2 linked regions of the Stegostoma tigrinum genome follow. The protein of the gene in region 1 purifies or fractionates together with the protein of each later gene. This does not show direct contact. Links are inferred from orthologs where the notes say so. Each region holds a gene or a part of one and is shown in the gene's direction. Other genes may lie near its edges.

Region 1 (16,056 bases):
AATTGGTGAGAAAATTCATAAAGCAGAAGTACAAAGGGATCTGGGAGTGTTGGTCCAGGATTCTCTAAAGGTTAACTTGCAGGTAGAGTCCGTGATTAAGAAAGCGAATGTAATGTTGTCGTTTATCTCAAGACTGTTGGAATATAAAAGCAGTGATGTGCTTCTGAGGCTTTATAAAGCTCTAGTTAGGCCACATTTAGAATACTGTGTCCAATTTTGGGCCCCACACCTCAGGAAGGACATATTAGCCCTGGAGCGTGTCCAGCGGAGACTCACACGGATGATCCCTGGAATGGTAGGTTTAACGTATGATGAACGGCTAAGGATCCTGGGATTGTACTCATTAGAGTTTAGAAGGGTGAGGGGAGATCTAATAGAAACTTACAAGATAATGTATGGCTTAGAAAGGGTGAATGCTAGGAAGTTGTTTCCCTTAGGCGGGGAGACTAGGACCCATGGGCACAGCCTTAGAATTAGAAGGGGTAAATTTAAAACTGAAATGAGGCGACATTTCTTCAGTCAGAGAGTGGTGGGCTTGTGGAATTCATTGTCACGGAGTGCAGTGGAGGCCGGGACATTGAATGCCTTCAAGGCAGAGATCGACAAATTCTTGATCTCAGAAGGAATCAAGGGCTACAGGGAGAGTGCAGGGAAGTGTAGTTGAAATGCCCATGAGCCATGATTTAAATGGTGGATTGGACTTGATGGGCTGAATGGCCTTACTTCCACTCCTATGTCTTATGGACCTTAGATAAGAAAGTGTGAAGCTGGATGAACACAGCAGGCCAAGCAGCATCTTAAGAGCACAAAAGCTGACGTTTCGGGCCTGGACCCTTCATCATGAAGGGTCTCAGCCCGAAACGTCAGCTTTTGTGCTCCTAAGATGCTGCTTGGCCTGCTGTGTTCATCCAGCTCCACACTTTGTTATCTTGGACTCTCCAGCATCTGCAGTTCCCACTAGCTCTGATTGGAGGGACCTTGTTGTACGTGTGCACCAGTGCCCTAAGGTGTCAGGATGGATTCGTAAATTGATTAGAAAAGGCATTTGGTATATTTGCCTTTATTAGGTTCGGCATGGAGTTTAAGGGCAGGGAGGTTATGCTGGAATTGATTGAAACATTAGACACAGCTAGAATATCGTGTGTGGTTCTGGAATCCACATTCATAGGGGTTCACATAGAATTAGTGGGTTGAAGAACCTGTTTCTATGCTGCATGACTTTATTATAGGAGGAATGTGAGTGCACTGTAGCAGATGCAGACCAGATTCACCAGAATCAATGCAATATGGAGCTGGAGAAGCACAGCAGGCCAGGCAGTATCAGGGGAGCAGGAAAGTTGACATTTCGATTTGGGACTCCTCTTCAAAAATGGGGAGGGGGAAGGGAGCTGGGAAATAAATCGAGTAGGGTCGAGGCAAGGGAAGGTAGGTGGGATGGCGATAGTTGAATGCAGGTTGGGAATGGGGATTTGTCAGTGGGATGGGTGCGATGGATAGGTGAGGGAGGAGATGGTCAGGTTATGTCAGGTCAAGGAGGCAGTGATGACAGAGTGGGTTGGACATGGAATGAGGCCGAGGCTGGGGAGATTTTAAAACTGGTGAATTTCATGTTTAGGCCATTGGGCTGTAGGCTCCCGAGATGGAATATGAGGTGTTGTTCCTCCATTTTGCTAGTGGTGTCATTGTAATATTAGAGGAGGCCCAGGATGGACATGTCACCCAGGGAGGGGGAGGAAGATCTAAAGTCCCTACCACTCCCTGGCTGCACTCACCGATCACCATCTCACCTACCTTCCCCAGCACCTCCTCTCCTCTCTCTCTTTAATTCCCAGCCCCCTTCCCCATCCCCATTTCTGAAGAAGGGTCCCGATCTGTAACATCAGCTTTCCTGCTCCTGTAATGCTGCCTGGCCTGCTGTGATCCTCCAGCTCTACACTGTGTTATTTCAGACTCCAGCATCAGCAGTTATCTATCTCTGAGATTCACCAGAATGTTGCATGGACTTATGAGTTTGATTACAAAGAGAGATTGGACAGACTAGAGTTGTTTGCTTTATAGCAGAGGAGATTGAGAGGAGTCATGATTGAGATTTGTAAAATTAATAGGAACCCTTGATGGAGGGATGAATGACTGGGGGCATAGATTTAAGATTAGGGGCAGAAGGTTTAGAGGAGATGTGGAGGGAAAGCAGAGTTAACATTTCAGGTCCAGTGATGTTTCTTCAGAAATTTTTTGTTTGTTTCAGAACTCTCCAGCATTTGTAGTTTTTTGTTTTATTATGTAAGAAGACAAGCTAGATAGGTGATAATGGGGACAATGGGCAGTTGAGAATGAATAGGCAACTGGAAGCAACTCGTTTCATGGTCATAGAATTTTACAGTGTCTGTACCAGCTCCTAAAAGAACTAGCTAGCTCTGTACTCCAGCCCTATCTTCATTGCCCTCTACATTTATCAATTTAAAATATATATCCAGCTCTCTTTTAAAATGTCATATGGAATCTACTTCTACTACGCCCCAGGCAGCACATTCCAATTCCTAACAATTGTCTGGGTAAAGAAGATTGTCCTCTCTCACTCCTAGCTCTCTCACTGATAACCTTGAAATTGTGAACCCTAGTAACTGATATACTAACTCATAGAAACAGAATAGCCTTCTTTACCCTGTTAAAATTGTTCGTTGTCAGAAGTCACATGACACCAGGTTATGATCCAACAGGCTGATTTGAAATCACAAGCTCTCTGGTTCACGTTGCACTAAATGTGACCCCAACACACTATTCTGTAATATAACCAGTCATTCGTTTGTCTCCAGCACCACCTTAGTTTTAATTTTCTGGCATTATTGCTCTTCCTCAATTAATTGGGTTATAGGTCAGTCTTCACTTGCAGTTCAGCTGTTGACACTTTACTCACACTGTCTGACACTCTCGATCACCGCAGGGTCTTATTATTTGGCCAGTTGACAACCCGCTCTCAGCAGTTGTATGATCTTTTGAGCTGATTATAAATCCTGTGCCTGCCTGCCCCTTCTCACTTCACCTGAAGAGGTAGCACTTCAAAAGTTTGTGATTTAAAATAAACCTATTGGGCTATAACCCAGTGCCATGTGACTTCTGACCATGCCCATCCCAGTCCAACACTGGCATCTCCACATCAAAATTGATCATAAGTAACATCACCTCTTAATCATTTCATAGTTAAGATCACCTCTTAATCTTCTCAGCTCCAAGGAGACAAGAACCTGGGATAATTGTGTTTCAACAAGTAAGTGTGTGGCAATGCTCAAAAAAATTGTTAAATTCCATGCTGTGTCCTGAAGGCTGCAAAGTGCCCAAGCAAACAATGAGGTGTTGCTGCTCCAGCTTCTAAGGAGCTTTGATGGGCCCTTGCAGCAGGCCTGAGACAGAAATGTTGCCAGGAAAAGCAATGGTGTATTGAAAAAAACTCAAAAGAGCTGCAGATGCTATCAATCAGGAACAAAAACAAAGTTGCTGGAAAAGCTCAGCAGGTCTGGCAGCATCTGTGGTGGAGAAAACAGAATTAATGTTTCGGGTCCGGTGACCCTTCTCAGAACAGGCAGGCAACTGGAAACTCTGGAGCATAGTTATTCTGGTAAAGGTGATTTATTATCAAGGATGAGATTTCTAAATTCCTGGAAGTGCAGGGTCAGATTAGAACAAGTCAGCATGGATTTAGTAAGGGGAGGTCGTGCCTGAAAAACCTGTTAGAATTCTTTGAAGAGGTAATAAGTATGTTAGACCAGGGAAACCCAGTAGATATTATCTATCTAGACTTCCAAAAGGCCTTTGATACGGTGCCTCATGGGAGGCTGCTGAGCAAGGTGAGGGCCCATGGTGTTCGAGGTGAGCTACTGGCTTGGATTGAGAGTTGGCTGTCTGACAGAAGGCAGACAGTTGGGATAAAAGGCTCTTTTTCGGAATGGCAACCGGTGACGAGTGCTGTCCCACAGGGTTCAGTGTTGGGGCTGCAGCTGTTCACCTTATCTATTAATGATCTGGATGAAGGGGCTGGGGGCATGCTGGCAAAGTTTGCCGATGATACGAAGATAGGTGGATAGGCTCGTCCCCACCTCCCTAACCTGTTCTTCTTCTCATATCCCCTCTTCCCACCTCAAACAACACCTTCATTTCTGACCTAATAACCTCATCCCACCCCCTTGACATGTCTGTCCTCCCCACCCAGACTCTCCTCTCCACCTATCTTCTCCTTGATCCATCTTCGGTCCGCCTTTCCCTCTCTCCCTATTTATTTCAGAACCCTCTCCCCATCTTCCTTTTCTGATGAAGGGTCTAGTCCCGAAACGTCAGCTTTCGTGCTTCAAAGATGCTGCTTGACCTGCTGTGTTCATCCAGCTTCACACCTTGTTGTCTCAGATTCTCCAGCACCTGCAGTTCCCATTATCGCTACCTCATGCCTTCTTCACTGCCCTGTCAACCTGTGGCTCCACTTTCAATGAGCTATGAACCTGCACTCCAAGGTCTCTTTGTTCAGCAACACTTCCCAGTAACTTACCATTAAGTGTAAAAGTCCTGCCCTGATTTGCCTTTCCACACTGCAGCAACTCAATTTGTCAAAATTATACAGTAAATGGGAAAGCCCTGGGGAAAATTGATGAACAGAGAGATCTGGGTTTTCAGGCCCATTGTTCCCTGAAGGTGACAACGCAGGTCAATAGGATGGTCAAGAAGGCATATGGCATGCTTTCCTTCATTGGGCGGGGTATTGAGTACAAGAGTTGGCAGGTCATGTTGCAGTTGTATAGGACTTTGGTTTGGCCACATTCAGAGTACTGTGTGCAGTTCTGGTTGCCACATTACCAAAAGGATGTGGAAGCTTTGGAGTGGGTGCAGAGGAGGTTCACCAGGATGTTGCCTGGTACGGAGGGTGCTAGCTATGAAGAGAGGTTGAATAGATTAGGATTATTTACATTAGAAAGATGGAGATTGAGGGGGGACCTGATTGAGGTCAACAAAATCATGAGGGGTATAGACAGGGTGGATCGCAAGAAGCTTTTTCCTAGAATGGGGGACTTAATTACAACGGGTCATGAGTTCAAAGTGAGAGGAGGAAAGTTGATGGGAGATATTGTGGAAAGTTCTTTACACAGAGAGTGGTGGGTGCCTGGAATGCATTGCCAGTAGAGGTGGTAGAGGTGGGCAAAATAGCATCATTTAAGATGCATCTAGACAAATACATGAATACAGATCCTTGGAAAATAGGTGACAGGTTTTGATAGAAGATCTGGATTGGCACAGGCTTGGAGGGCCGAAGGGTCTGTTCCTTTGCAGTAATTTGCTTTATTATTTGTTCTTTTGTTCATTAAACTCTGTTTGCCACTCCTTGGCCCCTTGGTCCATCTGATCTCGATCTTGTTGTACTCTGTTCTTCACTGTCAATCTTCTTTGTCACTTCTTCAAAAAACTAAGCTATGCACTTGAACACCAAGATCCCGCTGTTTCTCCACACTGCCGAGAATCCTGCCTTTAATCCTATATTCAGCATTTAAGTTCGACCTTCCAAAATGCATCACTTTGCATTTATCCAGGTTGAACTCCATCTGCCATTTCTCAACCCAGCTCTGCCGACTGTCAATGTCTCACTGAAGTCTGCAATAGCCCTCGATGCTATTAACGGCACCTCCAACCATTGTGTCATCAGCAAACATACTAACCCACCCCTCAACCTCCTCATCCAAGTCATTTATAAAAACTCCAAAGAGCAGAGGCCCAAGAACAGAGCCCTGCGGGACACCACTCAGCACTGACCTCCAGGCAGAATACTTACCATCTACGACCATCCTCTGCCTCCTGTCAGCCAACCAACTCTGAATCCAGACAGCCAAATCACCCTGTATCCCACACCTCCTGACTTTATAGAACATAGAACGTAGAACATTACAGCACAGTACAGGCCCTTCGGCCCTCGATGTTATGCTGACCTGTCATACCGATCTGAAGCCCATCTAACCTACACTATTCCATGTACGTCCATATGCTCATCCAATGATGACTTAAATGTACCTAAAGTTGGCGAATCTACAACCGTTGCAGGCAAAGCGTTCCATTCCCTTACTACTCTCTTATGAATGAGCCTGCAGTGGGGAACCTTATCAAATGCTTTGCTGAAGTCCATGTACACCACATCCACTGCTCGACCCTCGTCTACCTGTCTCGTGACCTCCTCAAAGAACTCAATAAGATTTGTGAGGCATGATTTGCCCCTCACAAAGCCATGCTGACTCCCTTTAATCATGCTATGCTTTTCCAAATAGTCATAAATCCTGTCCCTCAGAATTCTTTCCAAAATCTTGCTGACCACAGACGTAAGACTGACTGGTCTGCAATTTCCAGGGAGTTCCCTATTTCCTTTCTTGAAAAGAGGAACAACATTTGCCTCCCTCCAATCTTCCAGTACGACTCCCGTGGAGAGTGTGGAAGCAAAGATCTTCACCAGCGGCTTAGCAACCTCCTTTCTCGCTTCCCGGAGCAACCTAGGATAAATCTGGTCTGGCCCTGGGTACTTATCAATCTTAATGTTTGCCAAAATTTCCAGCACATCAACTTCCTCAATCTTGATCTGTTCAAGCCTAATTCCCTGCTCCTCAAAGTTCTCATTCACAACAAGGTCCCTTTCCTTAGTGAAAACCGAAGCAAAAAACTCATTTAGGGCTTCCCCTATCTGCTCAGACTCCACGCACAAGTTCCCTACGCTATCCCTGATTGGCCCTACCTTCTCCCTGAACGTTCTCTTATTCTTCACGTATGAGTAAAATGCCTTCGGGTTCTCCCTAATCCTTCCTGCCAAGCCTTTTTCGTGCCCCCTCCTGGCCCTCCTCAGTCCACTTTTGAGCTCCTTCCAAGCAAGCTGGTAATCCTCTAAAGCTGTGCTGGACCCTTGCTTCCTCCACCTTACATAAGCTGCTTTTTTCTTTTAGACGGGGTTGTGCTGAGCTTTGCTGGAACATAGAACATAGAACATAGAACAGTACAGCACAGAACAGGCCCTTCAGCCCACAATGTTGTGCTGACCATTGATCCTCATGTATGCACCCTCAAATTTCTGTCACCATATGCATGTCCAGCAGTCTCTTAAATGTCCCCAATGACCTTGCTTCCACAACTGCTGCTGGCAACGCATTCCATGCTCTCACAACTCTCTGTGTAAAGAACCCGCCTCTGGCATCCCCTCTATACTTTCCTCCAACCAGCTTAAAACTATGGCCCCTCGTGTTAGCCATTTCTGCCCTGGGAAATAGTCTCTGGCTATCAACTCTATCTATGCCTCTCATTATCTTGTATACCTCAATTAGGTCACCTCTCCTCCTCCTTTTCTCCAATGAAAAAAGTCTGAGCTCAGTCAACCTCTCTTCATAAGATAAGCCCTCCAGTCCAGGCAGCATCCTGGTAAACCTCCTTTGAACCCTCTCCAAAGCAGCCACATCTTTCCTATAATAGGGCGACCAGAACTGGACGCAGTATTCCAAGTGCGGTCTAACCAAAGTTTTATAGAGCTGCAACAAGATCTCACGACTCTTAAACTCAATCCCCCTGCTAATGAAAGCCAAAACACCATATGCTTTCTTAACAATCCTGTCCACTTGGGTGGCCATTTTAAGGGATCTATGTATCTGAATACCAAGATCCCTCTGTTCCTCCACACTGCCAAGAATCCTATCCTTAATCTTGTACTCAGCTTTCAAATTCGACCTTCCAAAATGCATCACCTCGCATTTATCCAGGTTGCACTCCATCTGCCACGTCTCAGCCCATCTCTGCATCCTGTCAATGTCCCGCTGCAGCCTACAACAGCCCTCTATACTGTCAACAACACCTCCAACCTTCGTGTCGTCTGCCAATTTTCTGACCCATCCTTCCATCCCCTCATCCAGGCCATTAATAAAAATTACAAATTGTAGAGGCTCAATGACAGAGCCCTGTGGAACTCCACTCACCACTGACTTCCAGGCAGAATATTTTCCATCTACTATCACTCGCTGTCTTCTGTTGGCCAGCCAATTCTGTATCCAGACAGCTAAGTTCCCCTGTATCCCATTCCTCCTGACCTTCTGAATGAGCCTACCATGGGGAACCTTATCAAATGCCTTGCTGAAGTCCATGTACACCACATCCACAGCTCGACCCTCATCAACTTTTCTAGTCACATCCTCAAAGAACTTGATAAGGTTTGTGAGGCATGACCTGCCCCTCACAAAGCCGTGTTGACTGTATTTGATCAAGCCATGCTCTTCCAGATGGTCATAAATCCTATCCCTCAGAATCCTTTCTAACACCTTGCAGTCTGCTGTTCCTTTCCGCAATGTCACGGAGACCACATTGTGAGCAGCAAATAGGGAAGAGGCAGTACGAAGTGCAGATGCTGGAGATTCATAGGTAACAGGTTATAGAGCTGGATGAACACAGCAGGCTAAGCAGCATCAGAGGAGCAGGAAGGCTGATGTTTCAGAGACCCGAAACGTCACCTTTCCTGCTCCTCTGATGCTGCCGGACCTGCCGTGTTCATCCAGCTCTACACTGTGTTATCTCTATTATAGCAAATAGAGTCGACTAGAGTCAGGGAAGTGCAGGCAAGGTGCTGCTTCACCTGGAAGGGATGTTTGGGCCCTTGTATCCTGGGGATGGCGGAGGTGAATGTTACACCTTCGCTGGTTACAGGGGAAGGTATCCTGGGACTGTGAGGGCTTCAGGAAGAGTTGACCGGGGTGCCCCGGAGGAACCGGCCCAGCACCCTCGTCCCGCACCTCCTTCCCGTCCCCCCCTTCTTGGAGATGGCGCCTGTACTGACTCTCCCGGAACTGACCAATCAGAGCTGTGGAGGCGGGGCGTGGCGACGTCATCGGGTGGCGGGCTGAGCGCGGACCCGTATCCGGGAGCGAGCGGCGGCGGTTGGGCTGCGAGAGGCCGCGGTGAGTACGGCAGGCCCGGAGCCCAGGGCCTAGGTTAAAGCTACTGCAGTTTTCTCTCCACCGTTCCCGTGAGTGTGAGCCGCAGCCGCTGATGAGCCCTGCTGTTTATTACCAGACCCCGATCTTCCGCCGGCCTCGTGGAGGCTCTTTGCCCGCCGGCAGCAACGTGTGAACTGGTCATTGCCCAGAGGCAGGCCTTTAGCCCCATCCTACAGCTGCTAGCTCTTTGCAGCCCGTCCACCCCTGTTCCCCTTCGCTTCTTGCCCCTATTCCCCTCCGCACTTGCCCCCTCCCCCCCTTTCCCCAGTTCATTGTTAACACCAGGCTCGCCCCAGCCCCACTCTCCTGGCTGCCCTCCCACATTCTAACTTCAGCTCCTCTAAAACTCTGCTCTCACACCAAGTCCCATTCACTGGGCAATCCCTGTGGCTTGCTGTCCCCAGGTCAAACACCGTCTCAATTGTACAATTCTCACTCTTGTTTTCAAATTCCTCTGAGGCCTTGCCCCTCCCTAACCCTGTAATCTTTACCAGTTTTGCAGCCTTTTCAGATATCGGTTCTCCTCCAATTTCAGCTTCTTCAGCATCTCTGATTTTATTCGTTGGACTGTTATTGGCTGTGCCTTCATCTGCCTGGGCTCTAAGCCATTACACCTTTCCATAAAGCTCTCCATTTCTCTGCTGATGCTGTTACTAATTTCTTTTTTTGTTATGTGGGGTCAATTGCTTTGCATTCTGTTTTCTGAATTCGTTCTTTATATTGTTTGTTCAATGTGGGTGTCATTGGCTAGGCTGGTATTTGCTCCTCATCACTAATAGCCCTGGAGTCTGTGATGATGAGCTGTTTAATTCCTTGGGATATCAGCGTATTAACATTGCTGTTAGAAAGATAGTTCCAAAATTTTAACCCAGTGGCAGATCTTTTTGTTTCCTTTGTTATTCATTCATAGATGATGGCATTGCTGGTTAGGCAGCATTTATTGCTCATCTCTAATTGCCCAGAGGGTGGTTAAAAGTCAATCTCATTGATGTGGGTCTGGAGTCACGTGTAGGCCAAATCAGGTAAGGATGGCAGTTTCCTTCCCCAGAGGACAATGGTGAACCAGATGGCTTTTTCCAAAAAATGATTGGTCATCATTAGAGTCTTAGTTCCAGATATTTATTGAATTCAGATTTCACCATCTGCTGTGGCAGGATTTAAACCCAGGTCCCCAGAACATTATCTGGGTCTCTGGATTAACAGTGAGGCAATACAAAAGTTGTCATGGCAAACAGAGGTCATTTGGCCCATTGTGTATAAACCAGCTCACCAAATAAGAAAATAAGGAGCAGGAGTAGGCCATCTGCCTATTTTGAGCTTACTCTACCGTTCAATAATATAATGGATGATCTTTTCATGGACTCGGTTTTGCTTGTCTGCCTGCTCACCATAACACTTAATTCCTTTCTTGTTCAAAAATCTATCTTTGCCTTAAACTTTCAACAAGATACCCTTAACAGGTTAACTGACAGGGAATTCCACGGAATCACAACTGTTTGGGAGAAGTTTCTCTTCGGTCCAATCCTAAATCTGTCTTATATTTTGAGGCTATTCCCCCTAGTTCTAGTTTCACCCACCAGTGGACACAAACTCCCTGCCTCTATCGTATCTATTCCCTTCATAATTTTATGTTTCTATAAGATTCCAACCACTGCCCCCCCCCCCACCCCCCCTTATTAAATTCCCATGAGTACAGACCCAGTATACTCAATTTTCCCTCATAAGCTAACCCTCTGACCTCTGGAATCAATTTAGTGAGCCTCCCCTGTACCTCCTACAGTGCCACCATCGTGATGGGGAGGTGATGGCTTCATGGTATTATCACTGGACTGTTAACCCAGAGACCCAGATAATGTTCTGGGGACCCGGGTTCAAATCCCGCCATGGCAGATGTTGGAATTAGAACTCAATAAATATCTGGAATTAAGAGTCTAATATTCCATTTTCGGTTGTTGAAAAAACCCACCTGGTTCACTCATGTCCTTTTGGGAAGGAAACTGCCATCCTTGCCTTGCCTGGCCTACGTGTGACCCCAGATCCACAGCAATGTGGTTGACTCTGAACTGCCCTTTAGGTTGTGGGAATGGGCAATAAATGCTGCCTGGCCAGCTATCCTTCATCCTGTGAATGAATTTAAAAAAACTTTGTACCGTTCTTGTGTTTTATTTCTCATAACTCATTGTTTCTATTTAAATAACCATCTCATGTTGCCTTGAATGTTTCAATTAAACCTATCTTACATCTTAGAGGTAGTGCATTCAAAACCTAAACCAGGAGTGTGACAAAGCTTTTTCTTTCATCACATTTACTTGGTGAAGCTTAGACCTTAGATTTTTGGATAAAAGTTCGGCACAACATCATGGGCAGGAGGGCCTGTACTGTGCTGTACCGTTCTATGTTCTATCTCTTTGTATCTATATACTGTTGTCGTTCTTGATACTTTTATGAGTAGAAATAGTTTACCCCTATCTACTCTAGCTCCCTTATGATTTTGTAAGTTTCTCTCAGATTTCCTTTGGACCTGTTTATGTCTCAGGAGAACAGCCTCCCTCCAACCACTGTCATCATTGGTTCTTCTAACTAGACTTTTATTGTTCATGCCCCTTTAAATACATCTCTTCTGCACTCTCTCCAATGCTTTCACATCATTTCTTTAGCGAGCTGCACAGAACAGTGTGCAATATTCCAGCTGAGATCTGATCAGTATCTTTTTTAAGTTCATCATCATCTGCCTACTGTTGTACTTTATGCACCTGTTAATAAAGCCCAGGATACAATGTGCTTTAACAGCTGCCTCCAACTGTGTCATTTGTAATGCTGTGTATACATATGCACCTAAAACCCTGTGCTCCTGGACTCCATTTAAAAATTGTACCACTTATTTTATATTGCCTGTCCATAAGACCACAAGAAGTAGGGAAAGGATTCAGCAATTAGGTGCCTCGACCCATTTCTGCCATTCAGTAGGATCATGGCTGATCTAACATTCCTCATGTCCACTTTCCTGCCTTTTCCCTGTAACTCTTGATGCTCCTACTGATCAAGAATTGATTTACCTCTTCCTTGAATATGCTCCCAGAACTCACTGTGGCAAAGAGTTCCAAAGACGCTCAAGTCTTTGAGAGAAAAAAATCTTCAGTTTGTGCTTACAGCCCGTAGACACGGATGATGTCTTAAATGAATACTTTTCAGCTGTTTTCATAGGGGATAAAGCTGGGGTTTTATTTGGGATGGTCATATTCTAGAACGTTGAGTAATAACGAGGTATTAGCTGTTCTGAAGAAGGGTCACTGGACTGAAATGTTAACTCTGATTTCTCTCTACAGATGCTGCCAGATCTTCTGAGCTTTTCCAGCAACTTCTGATTAAGTTTGATTTCCAGCATTTGCAGCTATTTGGTTTTTAATTATAGACCAGTTAGCGTGACATCTGTGGTAGGGAAATTGTTGGAAATAATTCTGAGAGACAGGCTTAACCAACACTTAGAAAGGCAGGGATTGATCAGGGACAGTCACTATAAATGCTTGGTTGGTGGTTTGGTGTGGGGGGGTGGGGGGGGGGGGGAGGAGTTGCCTGTCAAATTTCATTGAACTTTTTGAAAAGTTGTCTAAACATATTGTTGAGGGTAGTGCAGTTGATTTGGCTGACATGAACTTCATTGAGGGTTTTGACAAGGTCCCACATGGAAGACTGGTCCACAAGAGCCCATGGGATCCAAGTGCCCAACAGGATTCATTCAAAACTGACTTGTAAGTAGCAGGTGAAGAGTGATGGTGGAAAGGTGTTTTTATGATTGGAAGCTTGTGACCAGCAGTGTACCACAGGGGATCAGTGCTGAGACCCTTACTGTTTATGTACATTAAAAACTTGGATGTGAATGTAGAAGGTTTATAATTAGTAAGTTTGCTCATGGCTTACAAATTATTGGTGTTGATAGGGAGGAGGATGGCCTCAGGCTACAGTCTGATATTGATCAGGTGGTAAATTGGGCTTAGCATTGGCAGATGGAATTTAGGTATGAGGATTTGCATTTTGGAATGCCTAATAAGGGAAGGTTGTAAGTTCATAGATCCCTGAAGGTGTCAGCACAGGTAGACAGGGTGGTGAAGATTTGCAAAATGCTTGCCTTCATTAGCTGGGGCGTAGAATATAGTTGTAAGAAGTCTTGTGTGATTTCTGACTTTATAAAAGTTGTAATGACACCGGGTTATAGTCCAACAGGTCACAGATGGAATACTGTGTGCAGTTCTGGTTGCTGAATATCAGAAAGCTGAGATGTGTTGGAGAGGGTGCAGAGGGTATTGACCAGGATGTTGCTTGGGATGAAAAGTCTGTTATGAAGTGAGACTGGATAGGCAGAGTCTTCTTTATTGCTTGGAGCAAAGGAGGCTGAGGGAGGTGTGATTGAGGTATACAAAATTGAGAGACGTAAAGAACACATATGGAATGCTGTCCTTCATTGGGAGAGATATAGAATATATGAAAATAGAGATACAATGATGAAACTGTAGAATCCCTACTTTGCAGACAGAAGTCATTTTGTCCAGTGAGTCTACACAACCCTCTGCAGGCACCCCACCTAAGCCTGCACACCACAGAACAATTTAGCATAGCCAGTCTGCCTTTTGGACTGTGGGAGGAAGCTGGAGCACCTAGAGGAAACCCAAGCAAACTCTACACAGACAGTTGCCCAAGGCTGGATTTGATCCTGGTCTCTGGTGCCGAGAGTACTAACCATTATGCCATGTAAGTCACTGGTAAGACCACAACTGGAGTGCTATGTACAGTCATGGTCGATACGTTATAGGGAAGATATAATTGATTTGGAGAGTGTGCGGTGAAGAGCTGGAAAATTGTAACTGTGAAGAGAGAAGGGAGAAGTTGGGGTTTTTTCCCTTTGGAATAGAGAAGGCTGAGGGATGACATAATTGAAGGATACAAAATTGTGAACGGGAAAGATAGAGTTGATAGGAGGAACCTGTTTCCCTTTGCACAGAGTTCAAAAACCAGGCATCAGAGATTCGAGCTAAGTGGCCAAAGGATTAGAGAGGATATGAGGAAGAACATTTTCACACAGAGGGTGGTAGATATCTAGAACTTGCTACCTGAGCTGGTGCTGGAGGCAAAGACCCTAAAACTCTAAAAACATAACTGGATCTGCATATAGAATGCTGTAAGCGTGAAGGCTGTGTGCCATGTGCAGGAAGATGGGATTAGAAAGGGTCCTGACCCGAAACGTAAGCTTCCCTGCTCCCCTGATGCTGTCTGGCCTGCTGTGATCCTCCAGCTCCATGCTGTGTTATCTCTGACTCCAGCATTGGCAGTTCTTACTCTCTCTCATTAGAAAGGACATCTGGGTGTCTTTGAGGTGGTATGAGGTATAATTTCTATGGTTCTACATAGATTAAACTGTGAGAATCTTTTCACCGTGATAGACATACCTAAGACCCAAGGGCATACATTTAAGGTGAGGAGTAAATGGTTCAGAGGAGACCTAAGAAAAAGTTTTTTTTTTCACCCAGAGGGTAATAGAAATACAGAATGGGTTGCTTAAGAGGGTGGTGGAGGCAGGTGCTTTCGCACCATTTAAGAAGCATCTGAATGAGCCCTTAAAATGTCAAGGCATAGAAGGCTATGGAACGTGTGCAGGTAAATGGAATTAGTGCAGTTTAGTGCTTGTTGGTGGTCTGGACACGGTGGGTTAAAGGGTCTGTCCTATGCTGTATGACTCTGACTAAATTGGAACCCCTTTCTTCTAAGACTGTGCCATCTTGTCCTACACCCTCCCTTCAGGGGAACCACCTTCTCAGAGTTTACCCTATCAAACCCTTTAAGAATGCGATATGTTTCAATGAGGTCACCTCATTCTTCTAAACTGCAGTGACTAGAGTCCCAACCTGTCCACTTTTGCTGAAAAGATAAACTCTTCATATCAGGGATCATCCTATTGAACCTTCTCTGAATTGTCTCAAATGAAATGATGCTGTAAGTAAGGGACTAAATCTGTTTATGGTACTCCAGATGCCTCAGCAGTTAGCACTGCTGCCTCACAGCACCAGGGACCTGGGTTTGAATCCATCCTTTGGGCAACTGTCTGTGTGGAGTTTGCACGTTCTGTCCTTGTCTGTGTGGGTTTCCTCCAGGTCCTCTGGTTTTCTCCTACGGTCCAAAGATGTGCAGACTGGACAGATTGGCCTTGCTAAATTGCCCATAGTGTTAAGGGATGTATAACTTGGGCTTGTAGGAGCATGGGTCTGAGTGGGATGCTCCAATGGTCAGTGTGAATTTGGTGGGGCAAAGGGCCTGTTTCCACGTTGTAGGGGTTTTTTTGATTCTATGAAATATTCACAGCGTGGATTCACCCAATCAGCAGCTTCTATTGCCTGGTGTGATTTTTCAATCCAGATGTCACATCTGTAGCTCAACATCTGGTTTGAGAGGAAGGAAGGGAAGCCCCTCAAAGGTTTCCTGCTGCTCTGTTCAGCTGCTCCTTGCCAGATTTGTATGCTCGCTTTGGCACTTAACAGGAATTTGAACCTGTGTTCCCCGGAGCATTAACATAAGCCTCTTGATTCGTATTCCAGTGACAATGTTCTGCTCTTTTTCCCCCCAAGAGTTGAGATGTCTAATACTAAGGGTATGCATTTAATCTGAGGGAGATAAAGTTCAAAGGAGATGAGGAACAAGTTTTTTATTTAAACACAGTGGTATGTGTGTGGAGCATGCTGCCAGGGGTAGAGGTGGAGGCAGGTATGATAGGGACTTGTAAGGACTTTTAGATAATCAATTGCTTATCTGAGGATATGGACCAAGGACACACAGACGGACTTAGTTTAATTTGGTGTCATGTTCTGCGCAGCATTGTGAGCAAAACAGCCTGTTCTTATGCTGTATTGTTCTTGTGTTCGATATTAGCCATACAGTATGCCACCACCTCCCCCGTCCATGTTCTTCACCATTGAACTTCATCTGACGCCTATGCTGGCATTCCAACTTGTATCCTCCACATTAATCCTCTCAGATTACAATTCTTTGGAGTTTTGTACAATGAGCAAAACGTGAAATTGCCCAT
Region 2 (15,818 bases), on another chromosome or scaffold:
GAGTCAACCATAAAAATCAAAATGGCACTTTCCCAACATTTACAATACCTGTATGAGAACGTCTGTGTAATTCTAGATTACTCGGGTGCTTAAAAGTTTTCCCACATAGTTCACAACAATATTGCTTCTGTGACTGACAAAACTGGGACTGAACGTTTGAGTTATTTAAAGATTGGTCAAGAACTTCCTCGGAATCTCCAGCAGGTCCATGGTTAACTGGTACTAGATCACTCCCTCTCAAAGGTGAGTCAGTCAGTTTCACTTGTTCCTGATCTTTCTCCCCGGCACAACCGCCTTGTCCCAAATTCTCTTTGGGGAGCTCCCTTGAGCTGTGTCCATTTACTTTCTCAGCTTCGGATATTTCATTCACTTTAGGGAGCACAGAAGGTGACTCAAGCAGTTTTTTGGGCCACAAATAATCATACTTCTTCAGAGGGACTTTCTTTTTCACATGAGGCAACTGTCTAATTGGTTGAGGTTCCACGTTCCCCATACTCTGACTAAAGGACCATCTTTCTTCTGTGTGCATCGTCATGCCTGATGAGGACGGTTCCTGAGCAGCACTGTTGCATTCAGTAGGTTCAAGGGAAGATACATCCTTTGTGGTTACTGCCGCGCTTATACCATCATCGAGATCCACTCTTCTTTGCTCCCCTTGATTACTATTGAAGAAAGGTGACAGATTTTGCTTGAACATTTCTTTTCCATAACAATTGTACAATTTAGAAGGCTGTTGAGCATTTTGCCTCATTGGATAATCTGAAGTAGTCCTGTCTGGGAGTCCAGGAGTTTGGTTCTGCAAAGTCGCTGATATTTCAGCTTGAGAAATATCTGGCAGTGGTCTAAATAAAAGTCCCAGCTCTTGAGGTTTATGGATATGACTCTGTATCCCAAAAGAGCAGTCATGGTTTATCTCAGAGCCATCTGTATTCTCTAGCATATCCTCTGTGTCAGTTGACAGGGCTCCATGCAGTGAAATAGTGCTAGCAGCTGCCAAGTTGCTGCTATCACCTATGACATTTGCTGAAGCCTTTAGGAAAGTATAGCACAGACTGAGCACGTTTGGTACTTGCAAACACTGAGCAATGTCCAACACAGCCTGGACGTTTTCATGGCTAAGGTCAAGGTGCGAAGTATACATAAAATCCAGAATCTGGCCAATGCCACCAATATTTTTAATATCCAAATGGAAGACATCACGGCTCTGGCCTGAAGAATTTTGAAATAAGGTCCTGAAAGATTTGGGACAGAACAGAAAATTACTTTAAGCTAAAAAGACAAACTCAAAACTTGTTACTACTCAAATGCTTTTACTAAAAATGAGCCAAAGAATTCAATTCTAAACATCCACAGCATTTTCTGTGATAGTAAAAAGTGAACTTTGATGCTTTTACTTCACTCTACAAATGTAATTATGGTAAAGCAATTTAAGAATACAGTAAAGGCATTCAAAGCAGCAAGAATTTTTTTTGTAAACTAATAATTACAATTGGATGATAAAACTCTACTCTCCAGATGTGTTTGGAGATGATTTACTGCCAGTGTTAGCTAATTTCTTGGCTGGAGAAACAGTTATAGTTTGACGCTGAGATTAATAATCAATTCAATGGCTTCATGTGATAACTGCGATTGGTTGTGATGTTACCAGGAATGGATTTCTCAGGGCAGAAAGTGTATGACAGCGACAGACTGACTGAAGGGTAATTAACATTGAAGGTCCATAATTTATTTTGAACTTAAAGCACTTGAAAAGGCACTCGCAAAATGTAAATAACAATTTACAGATTGCTTAAACAACGATAACCTGCCCAAGAGTTTCCAGATGGAAATTGTATGGTGTGCTAAATATAATTTGGAAGAAAAATGCAAAAAAAAGACTTTAAATGTCTGAAGTAATTACAAATAGCTGAGGATGCAAGCAATGTTGGGTGGGTTCTGGTATAATCTAATGTGAATTATAGTGAAAACAAAGTAAAATAAGAAAACTTCGAAAAATGTCAGGCATAAGTTTTTTCCAACAATCTAATCAAAGCTCATGGTCAGCCGGAACAGTGCGAATAGGGGTTGTGAGGTTGGGGATATCTCATAAAGGGTAACTGTGGCACTGAGAGTAAGTAATCGCTATATGTAAGACTAATTATGTATCATATGCGCATAACCAATGCAATGGGTGGACATGCGATAATGGGAACTGCAGATGCTGGAGAATTCCAAGATAATAAAATGTGAGGCTGGATGAACACAGCAGGCCAAGCAGCATCTCAGGAGCACAAAAGCTGACGTTTCGGGCCTAGACCCTTCATCAGAGAGGGGGATGGGGAGAGGGAACTGGAATAAATAGGGAGAGAGGGGGAGGCGGACCGAAGATGGAGAGTAAAGAAGATAGGTGGAGAGAGTATAGGTGGGGAGGTAGGGAGGGGATAGGTCAGTCCAGGGAAGACGGACAGGTCAAGGAGTTGGGATGAGGTTAGTAGGTAGATGGGGGTACGGCTTGGGGTGGGAGGAAGGGATGGGTGAGAGGAAGAACCGGTTAGGGAGGAAGAGACAGGTTGGACTGGTTTTGGGATGCAGTGGGTGGGGGGGGAAGAGCTGGGCTGGTTGTGTGGTGCAGTGGGGGGAGGGGACAAACTGGGAAGAACCAGCCCAGTTCGTCCCTTCCCCCCACTGCACCACACAACCAGCCCAGCTCTTCCCCCCCACCCACTGCATCCCAAAACCAGTCCAACCTGTCTCTGCCTCCCTAACCGGTTCTTCCTCTCACCCATCCCTTCCTCCCACTCCAAGCCGCACCCCCATCTACCTACTAACCTCATCCCACCTCCTTGACCTGTCCATCTTCCCTGGACTGACCTATCCCCTCCCTACCTCCCCACCTATACTCTCTCCACCTATCTTCTTTTCTCTCCATCTTCGGTCCGCCTCCCCCTCTCTCCCTATTTATTCCAGTTCCCTCTCCCCATCCCCCTCTCTGATGAAGGGTCTAGGCCCGAAACGTCAGCTTTTGTGCTCCTGAGATGCTGCTTGGCCTGCTGTGTTCATCCAGCCTCACATTTTATTACAATGGGTGGACATGTCCATTAGCAAAGACTGGCTGAGATTTAAAAAAAAGATGACTTTCAGACCAACTCTAATTCCAGTACACAATTTGAATTTAAACGTTACGGATAGTTCATACCTACCTAAAGTACTGGCTGAATGCAGCCAGCACATTTTTATGAGCCTTAAAGCAGACACCCTTCACCACCAGCATGCAGTCACACAGGAATCCTTGGATACGCTGCTCATGAAGCTGCTGTAGTAGATGGCAGCTGTGGTTTCCTAGTGCTTCGGCTGCCATCCTTTAGCTGACCTAGTATGGGAAAGAAACTCTGACATAACATGAGACTTACTAAAATGGTACAGAATCAATCAATCAATCAGTTGGAGGGTAGGTGGTTTTATTCATACAGCAGGATGTCTCAAATGCAGTTGAGATAAAGTCACTCATCACAGCTTCGAATTCACACAAGAAATTTTGTAAATTCCTTCACAAATTTAAAGCTAAATGACCAGTTGATATTGCTTTTCTTTAGTCAAAATGTGATTCTGCGTGCAGGGTTCCAAGAAATACTTCTGATATGTGCTTTTAGCAGAGATAGTAGGAACTGCCGATGCTGGAGAATCTGAGATAACAAGGTTTAGAGATGGATGAACACAGAAGGCCAAGCAGCGTCAAAGGAGCAGGAAAGCTGACGTTTTGGGTCGAGACCCTTCTTCAGAAAATGTTTTGAGCAGTTTGTTTATGCTATGTTTTGATCTGAGCACAGGGGTAAGAATCATTGGACACGACATTATGTTGCATCAAATGGACTATAAAGATGCAAGTTGTTGAAGTAAAAGATAAAATTCAAAGATATTTTTTTCCCTCCCTGGTTATGCAATGGTTTTGTCTTAAAAAGGGTAATTGAGATTGTCATCCATCCAGCACTATTTCTAAAACTGGGTGAAGAAGATGAAAAGGTGTAGGGGTTGGGTGAACATGAAGATGATCCAATATTTCTATAAGAAATTCCAGCTCAGAATATCCCAATACCTGATCAATTATTTTTGTAACCAACTGATTATGTTTTATTGCAGTGAAACTTCATGGCTCTTGAGCTTTAATTTGACTATTTTAATTTAGAATAATAAATGCCACCTTACCTTCACTTTGGGTAAAAACTCAACTAACCACAGACAGAGACAGAAATCATATTTAATTCAAATATACATTACCCATTGATCTAAAGACATTTGTTTCAACATTCAACATCATTTCAAACAAATATCGCTTTGCCAGAAATTCACCTTATCTAATACATTTTTTAACTAATGTAAAAAGTCATCCATAATTTTATCTTTTTAAAAAATTCTTTTCAGAACTATAACATAACATCACGGGCATGAAGGTATATCTGTTCCCTTTGCTGCAGAGTATCCTTCATGTTTCTAGAATAAAAAATAATGTGTGATTCAAGGATTACCACCTTGCAAGTATTTTTGACCTTCCAAAGTTTAGTGGGGTGGAGAGCAGGGGTGAGTCAGGTTTTCATATAATTGCAGCGTAAAGTCTGCATTCTTGTACTCCAGTCTGGAAACGGGACAACATTCCATTAGCTTTCTTGTGGTATAAACGCAAGAAACAAAAGACCATACAAGTCAATGCTTGAGGTAAATGTGGAAAGAAATATCACAATAAAGAGTGAAATAGTAGTGAGCAGAGTTTTTAAAGAGTTCAGAGCAGTGAAATAAGCTGTGCTGAGGTCATAGGGATTTGAAAATACCACAAATGAAGGGTAAGTGTGCGACAGATTGGGAGTACACTTGATATTGTAAAAGAATGACAGTGAATAGCAAACTATTTTACATCAGTCATAATTTTTATGTACATTTCAATAAAAGAGGGGAAATAAATGTCAGGAGGGATATAAAACAGCAGCAAGATTCACTTTCATACAAGCAATTTCCTCCCTAAAGGCATCATGAGTCTACCTACAGCACACGGACTACAGCGTTTCAAGAAGGCAACTCATCACCACCTTCTCAAGTGCGACTAGGGATAGGGAATAAATGCTATCCAGCTAGCAATGCCCACATCCCACAAGTCAATTAAAAATAAAAGTTGCTCAAGTACAAGGTCATTGAGCATTTTAAAAATAGTTAAGAAAGGAAAATTCAACTTATACTGTAATTTCCCAGTTTGAACTCCTGAATTACAATTTTGTTCATCTTAACTTTCCAAATATAACAGCCAATGGGGAACTTCAAACCAGCCTCTGCAGGAAAACAACACATATGGACCAAATACTGAACTACAGGAGCAACCATCCCAACACCCACAAACGAAGCTGCATTAGAACATTATTCCAACGAGCCACCACACACTGCAGCACAGAGGAACTACGCAGAGCAGAGGAAAATCACCTATACAGCGTATTCAAAAAGAATGGGTACCCTATGAACACAGTCTGCCGATTCCTCAGCAACAAACCCAAAGAAACAGACAAAACAGGCTCAGAAACCAGAACCACTCTCCCCTACATCAAAGACATCTCCGAAATGACTGCCAGACTACTCAGACCTTTTGGCATCAGGGTAGCCCACAAACCCACCAACACACTAAAACAGCAGCTAATGAATTTAAAAGACCCTATACAGACAACAAATAAAACGAACGTCATCTACAAAATACCTTGCAAGAACTGTGACAAACACTACATTGGACAAACTGGCAGAAAGCTAGCCACCAGGATACATGAACATCAACTAGCCACTAAACGACATGACCCACTATCACTCGTATCCTTACATACAGGTGAGGAAGGACACCACTTTGATAGGGACAACACATCCATCCTAGGACAAGCCAAACAGAGACACGCACGAGAATTCCTAGAGGCATGGCATTCCAACCGGAATTAAATCAACAAACACATTGATTTGGAACCAATCTACGATCCCCTGAGAAAAAGAACGGGAAATGACATCACCAACCCAAGGAAACCTAACCAGATAAATAGAAAGCGGGACATAACACCAGCGCTTCGTCGGAGGCTCACTGATGATGTTACCTAGAATGGTGACAAAACATCTGAAAACTAACCTTCCAGCTCAGCGAGCAAACTCACATCCACAGACAAGGATTTTGAAGTTAATGTTTCAGTGCAATAGAGAGGTGATTAAAAATTGACAAGGACAGGCGTAGTAGATGTATGGGACTTATAGCAGAATGGTGAGCATGCTATACTTTTAAGGACGTGTTGAAGTTTATGGTGGAGATTAGGAAGCCAATGAACAAAGTGTTGAAAAAGTAAAGATGTGAATGATGTCAATTGCAGTGAATAAAAAATAGGGATGACAAAGTGATATTTGAGGTGAAGGTTAGTGGTCATGCAGTTACTTTGGACATGAGGTTTTGTGTCTCAGCTCTGGAAAAAAATAGAACATTGAGACTCCCAGGATAATTGGGGCAAGCAAGGAAAGTGCATTCAGAACTTGCTTACACACTGCTTAATATCTGCTAAGTATCAGTAATGTCAAACTTTAACAATGATTTACATGATTTTATACTCCTCATTATTAAGAAAGTACCCTCCAAGTTATTCATAATTTAGATAGAATGCTAGCTGTTTATTAACACTGGTTAAATATAATACCTAATTGTAAAATATTTAGAAGTGAATTATCTGTGATACAAGACAGTAGTGAAATTAAATTAAATGCAATTGTATTAGCATTTTTTTCTCATTTGTAGTGGATAGCCCTCATATCTCGAATTGCTTAATTGTCAGAGGAATAGCAGCAATGCTATTCCTCTGGCAGCTTTTGTGCTCCTGAGATGCTGCTTGGCCTGCTGTGTTCATCCAGCCTCACATTTTATTATCTTAGCAGCAATGCTGTTGACTGACTACATTAATGGAAAGAATGCCACATTCCTAAAGATACTGGAATTAGAAATTACAACCAACAAATTCACAAGATTATTTTCAAAATATTAAGCATGTAGAGATCAGATCTTGAAATCCATCACAGATAGGTGTGGTTAAAACTTTCTGTCAAGGTGCTAAGTAAATGAATTGTACAATTTTCCCACAGAGTTTGCGAGGAAAGGGGTATGGCAAATGTAAATATCACCCAAAAGCAGGTTGTGTCAGGAGGAAAAGCCTCTGGCTACCTGCCTCTATTCCACAGTTTTGCCCAGACTGTGGCCCAGAAGAAGTAACATGCGGTGTCTCCCAGATATTTTGAAGCCTTTCACACCCTGTAAGAGGTTTGTCACTTAAATGCCCTCTTGACATCAGACCCTGACCTTCTGTTCTTTAACACATCCTTTCACTGAATAAAAACCTTAAACATCTTTAACTTTTGCGAATTCTAATGAATGGTCATCGACCTGAAGCGTAAACTCTGCTGCTCTCCCTGCAGAGATATTTGCTCATCTGTCCAGTAATTTCCAGCGTTTTCTGCTTAAAACATTCCGTGCCAGAAGAATAACAGGAAAAATCTGGTGGATTAAAATGTTGTTTAACATTTAATGTTAAATGTAATAATGTAAACAACATTAAATGTTGTTAATGCAGAGACAGACGGACTAGATCTCGGTTTGTTGGTGAGAAACGACATGTGAAGTTACTCGGCAGACAGACTGCTGTGAATAATGCTACGGTTATCTTGTCTGTGCAGGCAGCTTCCTTGACATATTGCAATCCTCACCAAAGATAAATCCTTTAAGTCATTATACCCTTATTCACATCCAGTAGAAAAAAAACAACAAAAAACTGATAGAATACGTGAAACACTTCAAAATTAGAATAAAATCCACAAAGTGATTGGAGATAAATACATTTAACCAGTCATCATTAATCATCATTGTACCTTTTAAATTAAAATTAAAAGCTAAGGGATTTCCATTTTCCATTCCACTTTCCTTCTGAATAGATTTTCATTCTGCAATAGATTTTGATCCTCAATCATGGTCCATCCTTTCTCCCTGTAATCACTGCCAAGCTAGGGGAGAGGTTTTCCGATTCAGTTTCCAGGACAACAATTAATAAAAGGGACTCGGGGCCTAGATGCACTAGCACGGGAAAGGCACAAAGCAAGTGGATGGCGGAACATGCAAACTGGAGGAAGACGGGAGGCTGGTGGAGGACAGCAGTCGAACCAACTGATGCTGTTGCGCCCCGGAACGCTTTTCCTGGTCGCTTAGGTCAGAGTAAAAGGAGCCATCTCCTCGCCTGACTGGGCAATAACCATTTACAACAAATTGCAACAAACAATTGGAACCCTGCCCGGATCGGGCCGCATTCCATTCCCGGGCAAGGTTCTTTACCTAATTGTTTACAGGCTCCGCGCTCTCTTCTTGCCCGTCCTGCCCTGGCCCCCACTCTCTGGCATCTCTATTCCCTTCTCCCTTTTTACGGTGAGCTCCACAGGAACGCGGCACCCGGAACCTCAGTATTGGGGCGGAGGAGATAGGGGAAGAGACGGAGCGTTGCATCTCGTTTTTCCGGTACCACACACGTGTGCGTTCGGGTTGGCTGGGGCTGCCGGAGGAGGGTGAGGAGCAGCGGGTCTGTTTGAGGAGCTCGCTGCAGCGAGTGGAGCTGAAGGGTAACAGGTAACTCGTTTCGTTTCAGACTGTTCCTGTTTTTTTGTTATGTCGATTCTAGAAGTTGTCTGGCTTCTTGCTGCAAGTTAAGCAAGGTGCTTAAGTCATTTGTAAATCATTTACTTAACTCGAAGGCCCTGTTTCGAATGAAAAAGAAATACACCTCCAACAGGCGGCTGCACTCCTCCTTCAGTAAGGACCCACTGAAGAGTCAGCTTCTTTGCTCCCCCCCGGCCTTGAGTTAACTTTTATTCTTTGCATTTCTTTCCACTCCATGTGCTTGGCATATGTATAAACGTACCTAAAGATGACTTGATAGTTTCAGTCTCTGTAATTTAATAATTTTATTTAATTGTAATTCTTCTTTTTAAAAAAATAGCATTTCACAACCTTAAGTCAATCCAAATTACTTTAGAGTCAATGAAATCTTTTTGAACTATAGTTGGTGTCTCAATGTAGGTGTCAATAAATTCAGAGCACGATAAGTGCTAACTGAGTGATAACTTACTTCTTCAGAGTGGGGTCTTGTGATATTTACATTCTCATGAAAACAGGTGCAACTTTAGTTCAATGTTTCAATTCAAAAATGGCACTACCAACAGTTTTGGAGAAACCACTAAATTATGTCTGTTCAAGTCTCCAAATTGGGACCTGAGCCCACAATCTCAACCTGAGACAGTAATACTTTTAATGTTGATTTTAGGCTATCAGTGTCATGATGGGAAATTGGATTTCATATTCCTCAATTTGGTGCAACTTTGAATTGTGGTGAACATCACCCAGTCTCTCTCCAAGTTAGCCTGAAGCAGTTCTACTTTCATCTGCCCATCAATGCAAGCCCTCAGCTTCATTGAGAGACGTTTTAATTTTCACACTTGTAAACTGTCAACTGCCTAATGCTATAACTGTCAAGTACTTAACAGTTGAATATTGGGAAGAACAAAGCTGTCATCTTTGGTTCTTCTTCACAGACTCCATCCCTCACTCTGGCCTCACTGTCTAAAAGTGAACTCTTGATGTTACCCTGGCATTTTTTTTGACCATTAGCTGAATTTCTTTTATTTGTTCTTGGGATCTGGGCATCTCTGACTGTGCCTGCTTTTGTTGCCCGTCTTTACTTTTAGAGTCATTCAGCACAGAAATAGACCCTTCCGTCCAACTAGTCCAAGCCAAGCATAATCCCAAACTAAACTAGTCCCTGCTCCTGGTCCATATCGCTTCAAACCTTTCGTATTCATGTGCTTATTCATATATCTTTTAAGCATCATAATTGTACCCACATCCACCACTTCCTCAGGAAGTTCATTCCACAGGTGAACCATCCTCTATGTAAAAAAAATTGCATCTTTTTTAAGTCTCTCATCTCACCCTAAAATTGTGCCCCCTAGTGTTCAAATTGCCCATCCTAGAGAAAAGACAAGTACCATTAACTCTTATACCGCTGTTTATTTTATAAATTTCTGTAAGGTCTCCTTGTTGCCCTAGAGAAGGTGGTGGTGAATAGGATTCTTGAACCGCTGTGATCCTTGGAATATAGGAGCATCCATATTGCTACTAGGCAGGGAGTCCCAGGATTTTAACCAAGCAACAGTGAAGATACAGTATTTGTATTCCTAAACTGGTGGTGTGTGATTTGGAGAGGAACATGCAACTGGTGGTGTTCTGATGTCCTTGTTCTTTGAGATGATAGAGCTTATGAGTGTGGAACGTGCTGTTACTGGAGCATTGGTGAGTTACTGCAGTGCATTTTGTAAGTAGCACAGAATACTGCTCCTGAGATGCTGCTTGGCCTGCTGTGTTCATCCAGCTTCACACTTTGTTATCTTGGATTCTCCAGCATCTGCAGTTCCCATTATCTCAGAATACTGCTACTGTATGTTGGTGAAAGGAGTGAAGGTTAAAAGTGTTGGATGTGGTACCAATCAAGTGTTCTGCTTTGTGCTGGATAAGGTCAAACTACTTGAGTTCTGCTGGAGCTGCACTCATCCAGGCAAGTGTAAAATATTCCATCACACTCCTAACTTGTACCTGGTGAGCAGGCATTTGGGAGCCCAGAATTAAGTTGTTCTTTGCAGAATGCCTGACATCTGTACTGCTCTTGTTGTCTCAGTGTGTTTATGGCTGATTCAGTCAGTTTCTGGTCAGTGGTAACCGCCATCAAGGTGTTGACAGTGGGGGTTTCGCCATTAATCTCAAAAGGTGATGGTTAGATTCTGTCATGTTGGAGGTGGTTATTGTATGGCATGAATGTTATTTGACAGTCGTTAACCCAGATCAGGATGTTGTCCAAGCCTTGTTGCATAAGAACAAGGACTACTTCAGTAGTTGAGTTGATATAGATTTTACTGCACCTTGTGCAATTGTCAATAAGCATGCCCCACCTCGATCTTATGATCAGGTGAAGGTCATTGTTAAATCAGCTGAAGATGGTTGGGCCTTATGCACTACCCTGAAGAACTTCTGCTGAGATGAATGACCTTTGACAGCAACCGTTTTCCTCTGTGCCAGATATGACTCCAACCAGTGAAGTGTCCATGCCTGTTTTTCTCTCTTCCCTCACCCCACGACCCCCATTTCCAATGTTTCCTGCAGTCCCTGCTACTGTTCTTGGTCAATGAAATCTTTTTGAACTGTAGTCAGTGTCTCAATGTAGGTGTCAATAATTGCTGTCCTGGGGTCAAGGCCAGTTAGACACACCTCATCTCATGATATCTGCTCGCTCTTATGTGTCGGGTAGCCTTGGCAGACCCAAATTGAGCATCAGCAAGCAGGTTATTGCTGAGATGATCATGACTAGAATAATAGGGCAATAACTGTCTGGCCTGGATTTGTATCAGTGATAATGGGAACTGCAGATGCTGGAGAATCCAAGATAATAAAATGTGAGACTGGATGAACACAGCAGGCCCAGCAGCATCTTAGGAGCACAAAAGCTGACGTTTCGGGCCTAGACCCTTCATCAGAGACGAAGGGTCTAGGCCCGAAACGTCAGCTTTTGTGCTCCTTTGCTGCTGGGCCTGCTGTGTTCGTCCAGCCTCACATTTTATTATCTTATTATATTGGCCTGGATTTGTCCTGCTTTTTGTACACGGGACTTCCCCGGGCAATTTCCCATGTTATTGGCTGGATGCCAGTCTTGTACAGCAGCACAGTAACAGCTGGGTTAGTTCCGGAGCATAAGTCTGACTGAAATATTGTCAGTGCTCAAAACGCTTGCAACACCCAGTGACACCAGCAACTTCTTGATGTCACATGAGTGAATTGAATTGGCTGAAAATTGACTCTCCTGATGCTGGGCACCTCTGAAGTAGGCTGAGATGGATTATCCACTCAGCACTTCCGGCTTGATGGATGCAATTCTTCAGCCTTGCCTTTAGGGAAGATGTGATGGGATTCCTCATTGTTGAGGATGAGGCTGTTTGTAGACCCTCCATCTCCTGTTTGTTTAATTATCACCACTATTTGTGTTGCAGCACTGAGAAGCTTAAATCTGATCCTTTGGTTGCTTTATTGCTTAGCCCTGTTTACTTCATGCCACTTCTGCTGCAAAGCATGCAATTCGTATTGTGTTGTACCTTCACTATTTGGGACCTCATTTTTGGTGTGCTTCTCGACATAATCTTCTGCATTTTTCATTGAGCTAGGATTGATCCCCTGGCTTCGTGATAGCGGTAGAGTGGGGGTATGAGGTTGCAGAATGTGGTTGAATATAATTCTGCTGCTGGGCTACAATGCCACACGAAGCCTGTACGACAGCATGGATGTAGTGCTTTGGACGGGGCGGGGAGGGTGAGCAGGGGCAGAGAGATAATGCTGATCAGCAGCGTGTCTCTTTACCTATGTTCAAGGTGATGCCTATGAAATTTCATAGAATCTAGAGTCAATGCCAAGAGCTGTCTTGAAAATTCCCTGCTGACTGTTGCCACCTCTGCTGGCTGTGTCTTACTGGTGGGACAGGACATATTGAGGAATGGTGATTGTGGTATGTGGGATATCATCTCTGAGGTATGATTCTGTAGTATGACTATGGTTGACCAATCCATGGGACACGTGTCTCAATTTTTGGGGCAAGCTCCGGATGCAGTTCAGGACGACTTTGCAGGGTTGACAGGGCTGTGTTTTCTGTCTGTCTTGTTTAATTTTGTTCCTTTTAAACCTTGCAGTGGTTTGGTACAACTGCATGATTTATTAGGCCAGTCTGGAAGGCATTTAGCCTACCACATTGTTGTGGTTCGGGAGACAAGTTAGGGCAGTCAGGTAAGAATGATGCAGAAACAGATCTAAAGAAGGATTGTAACTAAAGGCTAATTCTGCTTTCTCTCCACAGATATTGCCAGATGTGCTGAGTTTTTCAAGCAATTTCTATTTTTAATTCAGATTTCCAGCATCTGCAGTTCTTTAGTTTATTTCAGGTAAGAATGGCAGATTTCCTTCCCTCAGTGAAGCAGTTTTTAAAAAATGATAATCAATAATGTTTCCATGGTTGTTATTAGGCCAGCTTTTTATTGTATATTTTATCAAATTCTCCCATAATAAAACATAACATTAGCCTGGGGTCCAGATAACTAGTCCAGCGACATTATCACATTGTCATTGCCTCCCGCAGTTTCAGACGTCTCCTTTTCCATTGCTGACAGCACTTTCTTTCATCTGTGTAACATAGTGTATCTGCCAAAAGCAGATATAAATGCTTCTGAAATCCTTATCCATCCCTATACCTATCTATTTCTTTGCACTTCGGAGTGGCCATTCAACTTCTACTCTGTCTATAAAGTTGAACTTACCCATAACTCAGCTACTTAGATCTGTTCACCCATCATTCCTATCCTGTGATATACATAGCATCCTGGCCTAACAAGGCCTTGATTTTTGAAATCTCTAAGTAACGTTACCTCTTCCTGTTTCTCTTTCCTGATTCAGCCATGCAGCCCTTCAGTGCTTGACCAGTTCTAGCCTTTTCTGTATGCCAGATTTTCTTCATCTCTCTGGCACTCAAACCTCACTGCTTAGGACCTAAACACTGAAATTCCCTCTTTACCTGCTCAAGAACATTTTTGCTATCTGTTGAAAGTAAGCTTTAATAACACCTTCTGCTCCTTTCTCATGATTTGCTAACTCCTCTGTAACTTTTATAATAGATCCACTTTTCTATCAATTGGTAAAGCAAAATACTGCAGATACTGGAAATCTGAAGCAAAACAGAAAATGCCAAAAATACTCAGGTCAGGCAGCATCAGTGGAGAGAGTAAAACGGCATTAATGTTTCAGGTCAGCGACTTTGATCAGGACTGACTTGGGAGAAATCTGGACAAAAGTGAGAATGACAGAATTCATCCATTATTGTAAAGCCAACTGTAAGCATAAGATAAAATCAGCATAGAGTATTGGAACTGATTATTCCTCTGTTTGACAGTTATATTTATTCGTATTACAGGTATTGCTTTGTGGTGTATAAGGAGAAGGGACCTAGAATAAAACAAAATGGTGGTCTTCATCTGTAATGGATGTGGAGCATCTGTCAAGAAAGCTCAAGTGGAAAAACATTTTAACAGTTGTCGGAATTGCCCGTGCTTGTCATGTATTGACTGTGGCAAGGACTTTTGGTAAGTATTTGTCATTCTTACGTAAGAAGCTTTGGCTTGTACATGTGTTGTGTTCTATAGTTTTAGTAAGTGCTCCTGTTTTGTTTACTTTGATCTTCTTCATCTGAGATCACCTATTGGCAGTCTCATTATTTCTAAGATTCAGCTTTAATTTGTTACTTCTGCTGCTGCTTATGTACAGCTTGTACGTTGTGCCAGCCCCTCCAGCGCTACTGCTACTAATATCTAATGATTGATAGTTGCAAAATGATTGAATTGATAGCACTGCATACAGTTCAATGTTCTGTTGGAATTTGTGAAGCTGAACTATTCAATCTTTGCAGCTACAGCTTTGAAGAATGCTTTTTAGATCTATGCTGTATGTTTTTGGCTCCACTCAATGAAATTATGAAATGAAAGCTCCCTCCTACATAATTGAGATAAAATAATAGTTGACATTCCTCCTAAAAGAAGTCTTCAACTGTTTATAGGGGTGAGGATTACAAAGCACATATTAAATGCATTAGTGAAGATGAAAAGTATGGTGGTAAAGGATTTGAAGCCAAGGCCAAAAAAGGAGATGTGAAACAACAACAATGGATAGAGGTAAGTAAATCTTCCTTTGCATCTTGCTCCTCGTATGCTTCTAGGAACTCAACTTTGCAGTAGTTCATACGTTTAAAAAATTTATTGGTTGTAGTGGGCTGTTTAACTCTGTAATCAAAACTTATTCATATTTTATGTTGTTAATGGTAGTCGTGTGAAAGTTTCTACATAATATTATTGATTACATTTTTATTACGTCAAGTAAGACCAAAAGGCCCTGTGTGAGTATTATTTGGGGATTTAATAGAAGCAATAAATCTGTGTTCAAGAATTTCTTATGCACCATTCTGATCAACTGACTTCAGAATGCTACGTTCAGAAATCTATGTGCACATGCCCGCAGTTTCAGCTGTCATTTGAGAAATCAAAACAGATGATTTTGGGAAGCACACTAAATTAGTTAACAAGGTGTGGAGCCGGAGTAACACAGCAGGCCAGGCAGCATCAGAGGAGCAGGAAAGCTGAAAGAAAGGCCCAGACCCGAAACGTTAGCTTTCCTGCTCCTCTGATGTTGCCTGGCCTGCTGTGTTCCTCCAGCTCCACACCTTGTTATCTGAGACTCCAGCATTGGCAGTTCCTACTATCTCTCAGTAAATTAGTTAGCCTCTTTGAAACGAAGCAATGATTTCTGTGTTTACAGTATATATAGTTTTGTTTAATATGACTCCAGTATTATTGCAGTTGGATTCTGTTACTTTCAGGTTTAAACATATGATTGGTAAAAAGGTTATTCAGTCCCTTGAGGAGGGACCTTTTGTGGCATAGTGGTTCTGTCCCTACCTCTGCTCCAGAGGTGTGTAACCCGTGAGGGGAAATTCAAAACAACTCTTCTGCTTAGTCATACTGCTGCTTTAGGTGCAGGGATTTTAAAAAAAAAAAAGGGGTTATATTTTCTTACTATTACTTACTGCAATTTTTGGTTGTTTGTATTTGTTACAGATGATTGTAGTAGTGGGTCTTATGTAGAAACAGTGTTGGAGAAACTCAGCAGGTCTTGCAGC

The links.
Region 2: the proteins of phf6 (region 1) and lyar purify together in Homo sapiens (affinity purification with mass spectrometry; 3 studies listed by BioGRID and IntAct, with this or other methods). This does not show direct contact. The link is inferred for Stegostoma tigrinum from reciprocal best matches to the Homo sapiens genes PHF6 and LYAR.

What each region holds. Positions count from the first base shown.
Region 1 is NC_081368.1:308,696-324,751, forward strand, and holds the start of phf6 (PHD finger protein 6), read left to right. Parts: upstream 1-8,876; 5' UTR 8,877-8,945; intron 8,946-8,959; exon of another isoform or gene 8,960-9,013; intron 9,014-12,610; exon of another isoform or gene 12,611-13,741; intron 13,742-16,056.
Region 2 is NC_081354.1:55,227,319-55,243,136, reverse strand, and holds the start of lyar (cell growth-regulating nucleolar protein), read left to right. Parts: upstream 1-8,312; 5' UTR 8,313-8,638; intron 8,639-12,956; 5' UTR 12,957-13,041; intron 13,042-14,063; 5' UTR 14,064-14,110; coding exon 14,111-14,232; intron 14,233-14,702; coding exon 14,703-14,817; intron 14,818-15,818. Other genes in the region: zbtb49 (zinc finger and BTB domain-containing protein 49), read right to left, coding at 49-1,232, 3,180-3,337. UniProt on the Homo sapiens protein: Plays a role in the maintenance of the appropriate processing of 47S/45S pre-rRNA to 32S/30S pre-rRNAs and their subsequent processing to produce 18S and 28S rRNAs. Also acts at the level of transcription regulation.